Linked DNA regions of Arabidopsis thaliana. The protein of the gene in region 2 interacts with the protein of the main gene of each other region in a pairwise test. Each region holds a gene or a part of one and is shown on either strand. Other genes may lie near its edges. The genes, in order: AT5G26250 and AHA10.

What was found.
Region 1: the proteins of AHA10 (region 2) and AT5G26250 interact in a protein complementation assay, tested with the Arabidopsis thaliana proteins (one large-scale study listed by BioGRID).

The regions. Positions count from the first base shown.
Region 1 is NC_003076.8:9,194,310-9,199,997, reverse strand, and holds AT5G26250 (Major facilitator superfamily protein), read right to left. Parts: upstream 3,241-5,688; coding exon 3,111-3,240; intron 2,971-3,110; coding exon 2,651-2,970; intron 2,461-2,650; coding exon 1,834-2,460; intron 1,764-1,833; coding exon 1,317-1,763; 3' UTR 1,197-1,316; downstream 1-1,196. Other genes in the region: CLC-D (chloride channel D), read right to left, coding at 5,651-5,688. UniProt on the Arabidopsis thaliana protein: Mediates an active uptake of hexoses, probably by sugar/hydrogen symport.
Region 2 is NC_003070.9:5,901,839-5,910,215, reverse strand, and holds AHA10 (autoinhibited H[+]-ATPase), read right to left. Parts: upstream 6,159-8,377; coding exon 6,093-6,158; intron 6,006-6,092; coding exon 5,886-6,005; intron 5,799-5,885; coding exon 5,700-5,798; intron 5,611-5,699; coding exon 5,473-5,610; intron 5,377-5,472; coding exon 5,242-5,376; intron 5,152-5,241; coding exon 4,972-5,151; intron 4,874-4,971; coding exon 4,667-4,873; intron 4,566-4,666; coding exon 4,446-4,565; intron 4,325-4,445; coding exon 4,205-4,324; intron 4,117-4,204; coding exon 3,994-4,116; intron 3,881-3,993; coding exon 3,776-3,880; intron 3,651-3,775; coding exon 3,506-3,650; intron 3,392-3,505; coding exon 3,230-3,391; intron 3,141-3,229; coding exon 2,902-3,140; intron 2,740-2,901; coding exon 2,707-2,739; intron 2,616-2,706; coding exon 2,534-2,615; intron 2,451-2,533; coding exon 2,290-2,450; intron 2,208-2,289; coding exon 2,034-2,207; intron 1,940-2,033; coding exon 1,757-1,939; intron 1,657-1,756; coding exon 1,502-1,656; and 3 more. Other genes in the region: AT1G17270 (O-fucosyltransferase family protein), read left to right, coding at 155-404, 597-773; RLP3 (receptor like protein 3), read left to right, coding at 6,777-8,377. UniProt on the Arabidopsis thaliana protein: The plasma membrane H(+) ATPase of plants and fungi generates a proton gradient that drives the active transport of nutrients by H(+)-symport. The resulting external acidification and/or internal alkinization may mediate growth responses.

The DNA.
Region 1 (5,688 bases), on a different chromosome or scaffold from region 2:
ACAATACGGAACCGAAAACTGCGTACATACATTCAAAATAAATGAGTTATCTTTAAAATAATTAAAAAAAAAAAAAGACAAAAAGGTATGGTTTGTTGTATCTTTAATTTTTTTTAATTTCAGGTTCTGCATCAATTAGCCATAAAATGTATTTCAGTTTAGTTATTATTGTAGTGACCGACTCATGCCAGAGACTTCAATTTGGTATTTGATATTTTTATGATTTTTCTAAGTACCATATATATTATTTCTGTGGATTTGTGGGAGATCTAGAAGTAGTGGGTGGCAAGGCAAGTGTTTAAGATATGATTAATTTTTTTAAGCATAACGTGGTACACGAGATATTATTGTAATGATCGACTCAAGGCTTGACATGTTTAAACGGAGCTGACGTGCGATCACGACTGCGAGAATTTATGGATGCCTGCGATTGCGGTTTTAAAGCATTTTGAACGACTATTTTAGCGGTTAAAAATTGGTACGTTTGTGAATACGGACAACTGCGGTTTTACATGCATATAGCCATACATGTAGTTATTCTGATGTTTACAACTACATGTAGAACTGAAATGCAGTTCCATGTGCTACCAAAACCATGTGATCATGAGTTCATGACCATGTACCTCTCACTCTCAGTATTCAGATTTTTCTGTGGAAATAAAATGGCAAATGTTGTATAATAAAATAAAATAAAATTTTCAATTCGAAATCCACAACTAAAATCAGAAACAAATGGAGCACCGAATATTTTCGGGTGATAATTTGTTAATTACTCCTTCTGTTTCTTATTATTTGATTTTTTTGAAAGAAAAAAAAATGTTTTTAACAGATTGATTTTTTAGGTTTCCTAAGCAATATTAATTAGTTATTATTGATGAATATCAAATTTCAAAATAAATAGTTAAATATTATTGGTTTAAAATTATAACAAATATAAATCACAAAAAACAAAATATTTAGAATCATTTTTTAATATGTTTTCTTAACATGTGTTTTTTTTTTTTAAATCAAATATTAAGGAACATAGAAAGTATTGTACATGGATCAATCGTTGATAATAATGTGACACTTTTACCCACTGTAAAACAACAACTTTATTTTATTATGAACAATATTTATCTTGTATCAAGTGACTTAAAACACATAAAAATTGTATGACCCTGGAGTTTTCTTTTTTTATGTAAGATACCAAACCTGAAGAAAGCATATTATAATACAAGAATAACAAGTTGGTCTCTTATTACTGTATGTTGTTCCCCATATGACAAAAAAAAAACTAAGGAAAGTTAGAGAAAGAATGTGATCGATCAACAAGCTCAATCAGTTCTCTTCTCAACGTCATGCTCATCTTCCTCGAGCATAAACCTCTTCCAGTACCAATGTAGCTTCCACACACTATCTCTCATGTCATCAATGGAGACTCCTTTCGTTTCCGGCACGAAGAACAAAGCGAAAAGTCCCATCACAACGATCCAACCACTGAAGAAGAAGAATATCCCTGACTTCATCGCGCAAAGCATCGATAGGAAGGCCTGAGCGATCACGAACGTGAAGAACATGTTGCAAGACACGGCCAATGCGAACCCTTCCGTTCGAGTCTCCAAGGGGAAGGTCTCACTAGGGATTAGCCATCCTAGAGGGCCCCATGACCAAGCGAAACCCATCACGTAAACACACACGAAGATCACCACTACTAGGGCTTGTGGCCGTGCTAGCGTACCCGTCACGTCTAGGTCCTTGGCTAGGATGATTCCAATGACCAACTGTTTGAGAAAATTGTTAGTTTAGGAGGATCGCTTGTGACACAAGAAAAGTTAACTTAACTAATGTTACCTGGCATATGAGCATGTGAACGGAAGATTGGAGCAATAGAAATCTTCGGCCAGTTTTGTCGACAAGGAAAATCCCGACAAACGTGCTGAGAACGTTGATCGTTCCCGTGACAACCGCGGAAAGCAGAGCTGCGTCATTTCCAAACCCTACAGTCTGGAACAAAACCGGAGCGTAGAACATAATCGCGTTGATTCCAGTGAACTGTTGGAAAAACTGTAGCAACATTCCAATCACGAAAGGCGGCCTGCTCGCGGGTTTCATCAGTTTCGTGTAAGGGTCCTTGACCTGCCTTGCGATATCGCAAGCATGGACTATTGATTCATACTCCTCATCAACATCTTCAACGCCTCTGATCTTCTTGAGTGTTTCTTTTCCTTCCTTGGTTTTGTTCCGTTCGATGAGACTAGTGGGTGTTTCGCAGATGAGAAGCGATCCAAAGAGGAGGATGAGAGCCGGAATTCCCGCGCCACCGAGGGCAATTCTCCATCCGTAAGGATGAATTGAGGAGGTGAAGTAGTTGACTATGTTAGCAATTAGGATTCCAATTGTAACCATAAGTTGGAAAACAATGTTGAGACCTCCACGAAGCCTCGCGGGAGCAATCTCTGATAAGAAAAGCGGTACCGCCTACAAGAAAATCAGACACATTCTACAATGTTTAGTCATTGAAGAACACCAGAAAATTCAAGATCTCATACAAACTAAAATGCATATAAACTAAACCAGACCAAAAATTCAGTGAAAATTCATATCTTGTAGCATCTCAGCCTAAACACAAACTAAACTTGAAATAAAAAAAGATCATATAACATTATACCTGATTACCAAAGCCAACACCGAATCCAAGCAAGATTCTACCAATGATCAACATGTATATGTTAACAGCTCCCGCGGCAAGGCCAACACCGATCAAGAAGAAGATGGAAGCGAGTTGCATTGTGGGTCTGCGTCCGAGCTTAGAGCATGTAGCCGAAGCAAAGAAGCTAGCCACTAGAGCCGCTAGGTATAGAGAGGAAGTGAAGAGCTGCAAGAACTGGTTGTCATACTTGCAATAGTTGTTCTCATGCGCATGCTTCTTCCTTTCGTACACAGATGGGAAAAATTCCTTCAAGAAATCGTCCATCGCCGTTACTCCACCTATTTTTCATAATGAAATTTTGGTTAAGTATATGTACTTTTTAACATTTCTTGATCAGAAAGAAAGGGCTAGATTCTGTTTCTTAATCCATAAGTAATGCGAAAAAGATACAAAATAACGTTAGAGAAGAGAATCGAACCCGAGATTCCGATGTCGTAACCGAAGATCAAACCGCCTACAGCCGCGATAATGACACAGATGAAGACATAAACAGTCATCTTCGCGTCGAAAGACTTGGAATTACCATTAGAAGATATAACCACAGCCATTTTTTAACGTCTATGCTCTCTAAGAAATCTTTGTTTGTGTCTGTGTTTCTCTGTCTTGTAAAGAAGAGCGAGAGAAGAAGCAGACACAAATCTTTACACAAAAATGAGACAATGATAGGTTCATATATTTATACAGATCAGAAAGATAGAGAAACCAAAAAGAAGATAAAGAGGTTGTCTAAATATGGAATATTTTGTTATGAAATTATGATTGGTTGGTCAATAGATTTTGGATCAGTAATATTGTTTTTGATCCTCTTTTGGGGTTCTTACATTCAATATTTTGCTGTCGTAATGTCAGTTATTCACTTAGTGGTTTTTAATTCGTAGCTGTTACATGTAAGTTTTTTTATATATTGTTATTAACATCGATGGATGGCTTTATTACGTCTGGATTTGGTTATATCCAAAACATATAACAAGAACAAAACCTATCCCCATTTCCTTTTTATTTCCATCAAAGATATTTTCCTTCTCTTTTTGGAATAAAACAGATATTTTCCTTTTTTGTTGCATAATATAAATGATAAAATCTTGTATGGTCAAAGTTAATTATAGTATAATTTCATATGAATATTGAATATATTTGCTAGACTCTAGTATGATGAGTCATCATGACTCATGAGTCATGACTACTGTGATGTTGAACAAAGATGCAAATTTAGTTTCTCAATTTGATTTTCTAAAGATTAGGAGAATATTCAATTATTATGTTTACCTCTTTCATTACAAAAGTTTAGAGAAGTTGTAGCAATAGAAAAAAAGAAAAAAGCTTCGTAATTTTAGTTCTCTCAAAAACCAAAGTTTTTAAAAGTTATGATTTAAACCAAAAAAATTATTTCGAAAACCAAAAGTTTTATTAAAAAATTTAGTGTATATGATTAACATTAAAAAAAACAAAGAGCTAAATCATATATACGAAAGTTGGTCAATTTTTTGCATATGACTGGCACATCATCACAAAAAAAATGACATGTGTTATTTTAGATTATTTAAATTAAAAATTAGCCAAATTAAATGAAAAAAATAAAAGTTCTTTATAGCATTAAATCCTCCATCAATTCTACTCTTAAGTGATTTATTCAAAATTTAAAAAAACAATACAAAATTATGTTAATAAAAAGCACTACTTTCTTTATATTCTTCTTATTTTACTAAAAAGATTTTATCAATATTCACCATTTTATTATTTTTGTAATTTAGTTGTTTGCTACCTAAACTCTTATTAATTTAGTAATTTTACTTTGAGTCTTTCTCATTATTTTTTTTTGTGAACTTCTCATTATTATGTTTTGTTGTTCATATCTGACTCAATATATAACGTTCTCTCTTTTTATTTTTGTGTCCGATAAGTTGGTAATATTGACATGCAAATTTTTTCAAGTGATGAGCCTTTGAGATGTTAGGCATACAAAAGAATTTAAGACACGACTTTTCTCATATATAGCTATATGCAATAGTAAAATATATAAAAGTGTTGAATTAAATGACATTTTAGTTTTTGCTTTCCTTTTCTTATTTTCATATAAAAATTCTTGAGATCTTGTTCAATTTATGTTTATCTAGTATATAATAATGAGTTTATCACGATGTAATTGAAGTATTAGATCAAGAGAGTACACAAAACAAGAAATTATATTTATAATCAAGTTACGCGAGTTTCACATCACACAAATAACATAACTACATCTAATTGTATAAAAATATCCTATCTTGTTGATGTATGTATTCATGATGGTGAAAAAAATATTAGAATCTTAGAAATATAAATAATTATATATTTATATATAAAAATGTATAAATCGATATTTCAAGTAAAAAAAGAATCTAATCATAAAAACTGTAACTACCTAAGATTAATTTGATTAAATACACAATAACAAAGAAAAAAGTAAGCAAAAATTAGCAACAAGAAAAATCAACATAATTTTTTTTTAACAATTTTTGAAACAAACTCACGCGTAACGTGGGTATTCATCTAGTAATAATAAAATTATCTCATCTATTTCCAAATTTTCAACTTTTTAAAATATGATTTATTTTTCCATGGCGGTATGACCGATAAATTCTGGTTTTCTCTTTCTTGTTTACAATATGGTTTTTAAGTTAATCAAGTAAATATATCAAAAGCTGGATTATTTTACAGTGACCAAGAAAATAATCAAAGATTGCACAATTACAACAATCAAAAGCCCTCTACATATATAATCTTTCTACTCTCTGTGAACGGAGAATGAGATCGGTTAGCGAACAACACAATCCCATCTCAAGAGACGATCATATATCCTCCATACCGGATTTGGGTGGCAACATGCGGAACAAGCTTGTATCCTTGTATGGACGAAGAATTGGCCCGACTAAAGATCTTAGCTACCAGCTTCAACTGCTTGTATATGTTTGGTCTGTTTTATTAACCTAAAAGATCGTCTAGAAGCGGTCGTGCAGCGT
Region 2 (8,377 bases):
ATATCTCCATCCAGAAGTTTGTCATTTGCTTTACTTAGGCACTTCTGTGTAACAATTGAATACTGTGCTGATTGATATAGGGACTAGGATTGGATTTTGACAAACTGTGTCTCATTTATAGCTGGCTCTGTCTAATGAAATGATTTCTGGCCAGCAATGCAAAATCGCCAAGTTGTTTTTATCCCATACCACAAGCTGCAGACTGCATCAGTCGGATGGTGGAAAGGGCCAATGCTCCAGTCATCTACCTTTCAACAGATGCTGCAGAAAGCGAAACCGGTCTTCTTCAGTCACTAGTAGTCGTTGATGGAAAAGTCGTTCCCCTTGTCAAACGTCCACCTCAAAACTCTGCAGAAAAGTGGGACTCGTTGTTGTATAGACATGGTATAGAAGATGACTCTCAGGTAACGCACTTATTGCTTTGTTTATGGGCCAAAGATCTTGTTCTCTACTTGAACCGTATCTCTAATGTGGTATTGAACAGAAATCAATTCTAATGGCTATGATCTAGTAACATTCTTTGGTCTGAGAAAAATTCGTAGATATTCTTTGACGAGACATTCACTTGCTTATGCTTTGGTTTTTGGAATGGTTAGGTGTATGCTATGTTGGATAAGACTATATGTGCAATGTCCAGTGTATTCATCGGAGCATCGGGTTCTACTTTTACAGAGGATATCTTGCGGCTAAGAAAAGACTGGGGAACTTCATCTATGTGCGATGAGTATCTCTGTCGAGGCGAAGAACCAAACTTCATAGCTGAAAATGAATAAACAAGTAAACACATTCGTTAATTTTCCTCTGTTTCCATGGTTCTTCTTCTTTACCTGTATTATAGTAGGTGGTTTAATGTCAAATTCGTTTGATTCTTTTCCGACGGTTTTGTGAATTTTGTCGGTGAAATATAGTTTATTTGCTTGAGAATTTTGTGTTCTATAAGAACAGCTTGATTGCTTTTGAAACAAGTAATTATAAACCAAGATTTATTCAACACGGAATGTGGACTAAATTAGTAATAATTGAAAACAAGAGAGTAAATATTCGATTACACAGGAAATAAAAGTGGTGATTTTTCAATTTAACCAAAGTGATGAACAATGATCACAGGTTCAGTGAAACACCGACATATATGGCCTACAATTGATCTCAGCAGAGCATATCAGGTGAAATTTCTGCTGTCACCGGAAAACAAGACTACATTACAGACTACAGATCATATGAATGCTCTAAATATTGTTTTTACTTCTCTGAGGAACACAACATTGTTCGATTCCTCTTTATGTAAATTTTGAGATAGGGAAAAACTAAGAGAGTGTTTTAGACAGTATGAGCTGCACGGATCATCCTTTGGTCAATTTGTTTGAGTTTGATCACAGATTCTAAATGCCTTGACACTGAATGAACCTCTAGAAGCCTACCAAATGAAAAACAATATAGTTATTTTGGTAGTATGTGAAAATGGAAGAGAATACCCAAAACGGGGTATAGATAAAAAGAGAACCTGGCGATTTCTGCACGCCTCCTGGTTTGTTCAGCGATCCAAGAAGCGCGAGAACGGCTTCCTCTGAGTTCTTCTGCGGAACGACTTCTCTGAGAGATGGTTACATTGGGCGATCCATCATCTTTCCCATAATCTTTCTTGTAAGTAAAAGCTGTCTGCAAGACAAACCAACGGTCTCATCTTCAAGAAAATGCATAGTTTAAGTGTGAGACTGACTAACAAGCAGAGGACAAGAGACACAGGACATGTACCAACCTTACGGTCCAATACGAGATTCCAAGCTTCTCCACTCAATGCGTAGTGAAAGACAAACTTTATAACATCTAGAGGTATGTAAAATATCAGACTGTATAACCATATAACACCTGCCCATCTCCATCCAATGCCGGTGATTTTAGCAAAGCTGATGTTGGCATACACAGCAATTAATGTAGCCGCCTGTGTACATGAAATGGACAAGTCAATATCACGACCTATGTGTGCTATATAGCATTCTGTGATGGAAAAAATGCGAAGTATGGGGAATTCGTACAAGTTGAGCAAGAATGAAGGCAAAAATCAGGAGAGTCCCGGGACGTTCAAAAAATGACCAGCCTCGACTACGTGTTACAAATATGAGTGCCTGACTGATGATGCTCACTTGGAGATACATCGCGGATGACACTTGTTCACTGTTGTTGGCAATTGATTTTACATGGAAGTGTTTCTGCAGCCATTAAAGATTGGTCACCGGTATGCATTCTTCTCGGTAAGCAAAATCTAACTTACTTTGAGTGATAGGAAGATACCTCGAAGAAGGTGGTAGAAACAATGATCCAGTAAAACAGGACGGTGACCAATGCTAGATATGTTCCAATGACAATTCCTGTCGCAAATATCTGGTTGAGCTTCCAACTCTCGGGTGTAGGAGATGGCCTAACTCGATCTTTAGAAATAGTCATGATAGTCCCTGATGCGTAGGAGATAAACATAGCGTTTGAAAGTGATAAAAATTAGGTTACATCAATATGAAGCTATTGATTAAGAGATTACCGTCATTGAGTATTGCGATTATCAGAACCATGAAAGGTGGGAAGTCGTATTCCCATATCAACGCTAAAAGTGTAAAACCAAGCTGCATGAAACAATGTCAAGAAGAGAAAGTTCAAGTAAGTTGATGTAACTTAACTAACATGAGTTAGATCATGTATCATGAAGCTCCTTACCACTATGCGTATGGTGATAGAGACTGCATATACCTGCAGATTCGTACTGATTAGTCGGTAATTCAGAGAAAAACATAAGCTAGTTGAGAATGTCATCAGGCTACTTGAAATCCATATCCTATATTATATGATTTTTCATTTCTTTAGCTATCAGGGATCAGATGATAGTAGTATAACTATAACTTTAGTACTTACTGTATAGTTCCTCATCCGCTGGAAAATGGCTCTGCTGGTCAAGACAGCACTGATAATTACACTTAAGCCGGGATCAGTTAGTACTATGTCAGCAGAACTTCTTGCAGCATCTGTTGCATCTGCGACAGCTATTCCGATGTCAGCTTTTTTGAGAGCAGGAGCATCATTCACACCATCTCCGGTCATTCCAACCACATGCTTCATTTCTTGTAAAATCTTTACAATCTCATACTTATGTTCTGTAACATGAGAGACAAAAAAAATTTGGGATTAGAAATGAGAGCAAATCTTAAATTTCGTAGGTACTAAGGTTGTGTTAGAATATGACCAGGGAAAACTCCAGCAAATCCATCTGCCATTTCAATTAGCTCATCCACTGGAATGGCTTCATGCTCATCATTGTTGTGGCCTAACAAAGAGGAAGAAGGATACATGTTGGTTCCCATTCCAAGACGTCTGCCTGTCTCCTTTGCAATCGCCAATTGATCACCTACATGTGGTTCCAAACTTATCATTCATTTTCCCAGAGTTTTACCGTTTACTCACAAGGGTATATGTGTTTCTCTGTCGGGCCAAGCCTACCAAGCTAAAGGTTAAGATTTACCAGTGATCATCTTAACGCAAACTCCCAGGCTAAGAGCTCTAAGGATGGTTTCACCGCTATCATGCCTTGGGGGATCAAACAGTGGCAACAGACCACAGAACCTCCATGGTCCTCCAGGACTGTTGTTGCTTTTCTCTGGAATTTCCTAGAAACAATTATTTAAATGATGCAATGAATTGGAGTAATTAATGTCATCATAACGTTCTTCTTCAAAAGTACACTTATGATAAAACCAGCTCAAGAGAGAAAGGGAGAGGACAATGATGTTACCTGATAAGCAACCGCAAGAGACCTCAAACCTTTTTCTGCAAATCTATCAATGATGGCATAAACTCTTTGCGCAATCTCATTTTTCTGCTGACACAAGTTTAGAACCTATAATATAGTGCAGTTGTATTAGTGATGGTATTTCTTTCATGGAAACAGTACAAAAAAATTCACTAAATTTTTACAACTAGAGTCAGTTTGGTAGTGCTAAGAATACATACCTGTTCAGGAGCACCTTTGGTAGCACGATACCATTTTCCATCGGAATCAATATACGTTATTGCAGTACGTTTGTCCACAGGATTGAATGGTAAGAAATGGATTTCTCTAATGTTTGCACGTGCCTACAGATAAACAACCTTTGTATGAGAAAAACTTCTAAGAAGGTGATAGTCTTATAAAAGAGAGTTCATGTTAGAGAAACATCTCTACCTCTCTGGGATCTGCAAGCATGCTAACAATGGCTGCATCTATAGCATCCTGATTTTCTAGTCGTGAAGCTCGGCCTGCAAGCAACAAAATTGTATCCTTGTCCATGTAGTCAACGAATACCTGTGCAGAAGGATTTGTACATTTAAACACCAACAATAGAGAACAAGACGATGAAGAAGGAGGCAACTGTTCTTAACAGTATTGTTTGATGAAATTCAAGTCGCATCTGTAGTATTGGTACCTCAATAAGATTTTTATCAACGGTAAGACTGTTCAAAGTAAGGGTTCCAGTTTTATCACAGCAGAGTACATCCATCCCAGCCATTTCCTCTATTGCGGTCATTCTTTTCGTAATGGCACCCTTAGAGAACATGAAGAAACAGATTATTGCTAACAAACTGTTTTAAAGAATAACAAACAAAGGACTTCCTTTTGCATTCAGCAGCTTAAAGTGGGATGTACCTGTTGTGAAAGTCGATGAGATCCAATGGCAAGCGTTACAGATAGTACAGTGGGCATGGCAATGGGTATCCCTCCAATCAGTAGTACAAGAAGATTATTGATCCCAATTCTGTAAGAGCGATGTTGTACAGGGAACATGATAATGATTTCAAGAACCATTCCAACAGCAATGGAGCAAATGCAGAAGTTTCCAATCGATGTAAGAACCTAGAAGAAAACATGTCAAAGACTACATTCGGTTTTTCCAGATTCCAAGTTCACTAATCAGGTTCTATCCAACCAAAAGGGAAAGAAAGAAGGAAAACCTGCTGAAAATGTCCAGTTACATCTGTACTGTCCACCAAGCGTGCTGTTTTTCCAAAGAAGGTGGTCGATCCAGTTGCTATCACAACAGCTTCTATTTCACCTTGTTTACAAGTAGAGCCAGAAAAGACCTGTTCACCCTTCTTCTTGGTCACAGGTAGTGATTCTCCGGTCAGCACTGACTGCAGGAATAAATGTTTTAACTATTCTGTCAGAGAAAGTCTTTACATAGTACACACTAAAAGAATAGAGACTAGATATTCTGGACGTACCTGATCAATCTTCAAGGGGTCTCCTTCAAGAAGGCGAGCATCTGCAGGAATGATATCCCCAAGCTTAATGCTAATTATATCACCAGGTACCAAGATAGAAGCATCTTGTTCTTGCCACTGTCCATCTCTAAGAACCTATAAGAGTGGATCTAAATCAAATTTAAGGTAATATAGAAATTAAAGTGCAGCTAACTTTGCCGTTTCGGCTCATAGGAAGGTTAAGAGCCATACTCTTGTTTTTAAAGCCAAGCGAGCCATAAGAGCTGCAGCAGCATTCCCAGCATTGTTTTCTTCAAAGAAGCTGATTGTTGCGTTGATCAGCAAAAGGCAAACGATTCCAGTAAAGTCTTCCCAGTCAGGACCTAGACTCTGTAATACCATTTTCACCATGAGTTTCAAGGTGCTTTTTCATAAACACTCATGGATGGAAAATGGTAGCAAAACTGTGGTTGTCTTACTTGACTATTAGCGAGGGCAATGGCCATCAATGCAGCAGCTTCCATAACCCATGACAAGGGATTCCACATAAAACCTAAGAATTTCACAAATCTGTTCTCCTGTATCATTGTTGTTTTAAATGGCGGTTAGCACAAGATAATAGAGACAATTGGCAGGAACACTAAGAAGAATGTCATGTTTATTACCTGTTTCTCTTCAAGTCTGTTAGGACCAAATATCTTCAATCTCTCTTCAGCATCTCCAGATAAAAGCCCTTGAGGCGATGTTCTTAGGTATTCAAAAACCTCCTCCAACGGCAATATACCCTGTCAAGCTCAAGAAGGGTCAAAACCCTTTTTTGCCACTAAGAATTCAAGTACTAATAAGAGTATACAGTTAAAAGGAACATTTACCAAATCAATTCCTTTTCTGTTGAAAGTATCAGGATCCAGCAATGGCTTGTCCAAATCCTCGGCCATACTTAAAAGCTTCAAAATGTATTACCAGGATCCGATACTAATTTCGTCGTTAAGAATATACCAGGAACAGAAGAGAAACAGGAATCCTTAAAAAGAATCCAGGAATATTGAAACTGAAACGACCATTCCATGGCTGACCAGTTGATAGAGTGTGGAGAAGAGGAGATTCTCCTGCAAGTCTCAATTGGTATCACCATTATTGGAAGCATAAGAGAGTTTGCGAACAGTAGATGTGAAAGACGACGAAAAAAGCAGAGAGAGAGAGAAAGAAGAGTGGTTAAAGATCTCACTTCTCTACCTAACGGTCACTCTCACTAGCTTCCTCTTTTTAACTTAACTTAACAACCACTGTTACGTCAACTGTTCTCATAGGACTTGGTCTCCTCTCATGTTACGTAGAAAATGAAATTGAGAAAGGATTAACGATGGACCAATGGTATGAGAAAATTGATCACAGGAATAATGAAAGCGTCAGGACAAAGAAACAGATAAAAAAAATATTAAAGATGTACGACAAGTCTAATTTTGTTATGTCTGGGCTATTCCCCCTTAGTCAACACTGGCCAACAAGTTTTTTCATCTTCTTTGTCTGTTTCTCGTCTTGTTCTTGTTCTCACCATGACTAATGAGGGGAGATTCAAAGCCAAAGGTTTTGTGAGAACTTCATCAACCACAAGACCAATACAAGCTCTGAGTTTTCACATGATTGGCATACTCCTTCAGTGTGTTCTTTTCATCAGTGTCCTTTCTATTGCAGTTTCAGAGGCTCTCTGCAACTCGCAAGATCGAGAATCCCTACTGTGGTTCTCTGGAAACGTTTCTTCTTCTGTTTCTCCTCTGAATTGGAACCCATCCATTGATTGTTGCTCATGGGAAGGAATAACCTGCGATGATTCCCCGGATAGCCACATCACTGCAATCTCATTGCCCTTTAGAGCACTATATGGTAAACTCCCTTTGTCTGTTCTGCGTCTCCACCATCTCTCTCAACTCAATCTTTCTCATAACCGTCTCTCCGGTCATCTCCCATCTGGCTTTCTCTCAGCCCTTGATCAGCTCAAAGTTCTTGATCTTAGTTACAACAGCCTCGATGGTGAGTTGCCAGTTGAACAAACATTTAGAAATGGAAGCAACAGATGTTTCCCAATTCGGATAGTTGATCTGTCAAGCAATTTTCTCCAAGGCGAAATCCTCCCTAGTTCTATTTTTATGCAAGGAACTTTCGATTTAATCAGTTTCAATGTCAGCAAGAACAGCTTCACAGGCTCAATCCCTTCGTTTATGTGCAAGAGTTCACCGCAGCTCAGCAAACTGGATTTCTCCTACAATGATTTTACCGGTAATATTCCGCAAGGACTAGGGAGATGTTTGAAGCTAAGTGTTCTACAAGCAGGCTTCAACAATATCTCTGGTGAAATCCCAAGTGACATATACAATCTTTCGGAGCTCGAGCAACTCTTTCTACCCGTCAATCATCTTTCTGGAAAGATCAATGATGACATCACCCACCTCACAAAACTAAAATCGCTCGAGCTGTACTCCAATCACCTTGGAGGAGAAATACCAATGGACATAGGTCAGCTCTCTCGCCTGCAAAGCCTCCAACTCCATATCAATAACATCACTGGTACAGTCCCGCCTTCTCTTGCAAATTGTACTAATCTCGTCAAGTTGAATCTGAGGCTTAATCGGCTGGAAGGAACCTTATCAGAGCTTGACTTTTCCCGCTTTCAGAGCCTTAGCATTCTAGATCTCGGAAACAATAGCTTCAGCGGTGATTTCCCTTGGAGGGTTCACTCCTGCAAATCTCTATCAGCGATGAGATTTGCAAGCAATAAGTTAACAGGACAGATATCTCCTCACGTACTGGAACTTGAATCTCTATCGATCTTGTCTCTTTCAGACAATAAACTGATGAACATTACAGGCGCTCTTGGAATTCTGCAGGGCTGCAGGAATCTGTCCACTCTCCTCATAGGAAAGAATTTTTACAACGAAACATTTCCAAGCGACAAAGACTTGATTTCCTCAGATGGATTCCCTAATCTCCAAATATTTGCTAGCGGTGGATCTGGACTGAGAGGTGAAATACCAGCTTGGCTAATCAAATTGAAGAGCTTAGCAGTCATAGATTTGTCCCACAACCAGCTTGTAGGGTCAATTCCTGGTTGGTTGGGAACTTTTCCCCACCTTTTCTATATTGATCTCTCAGAAAATCT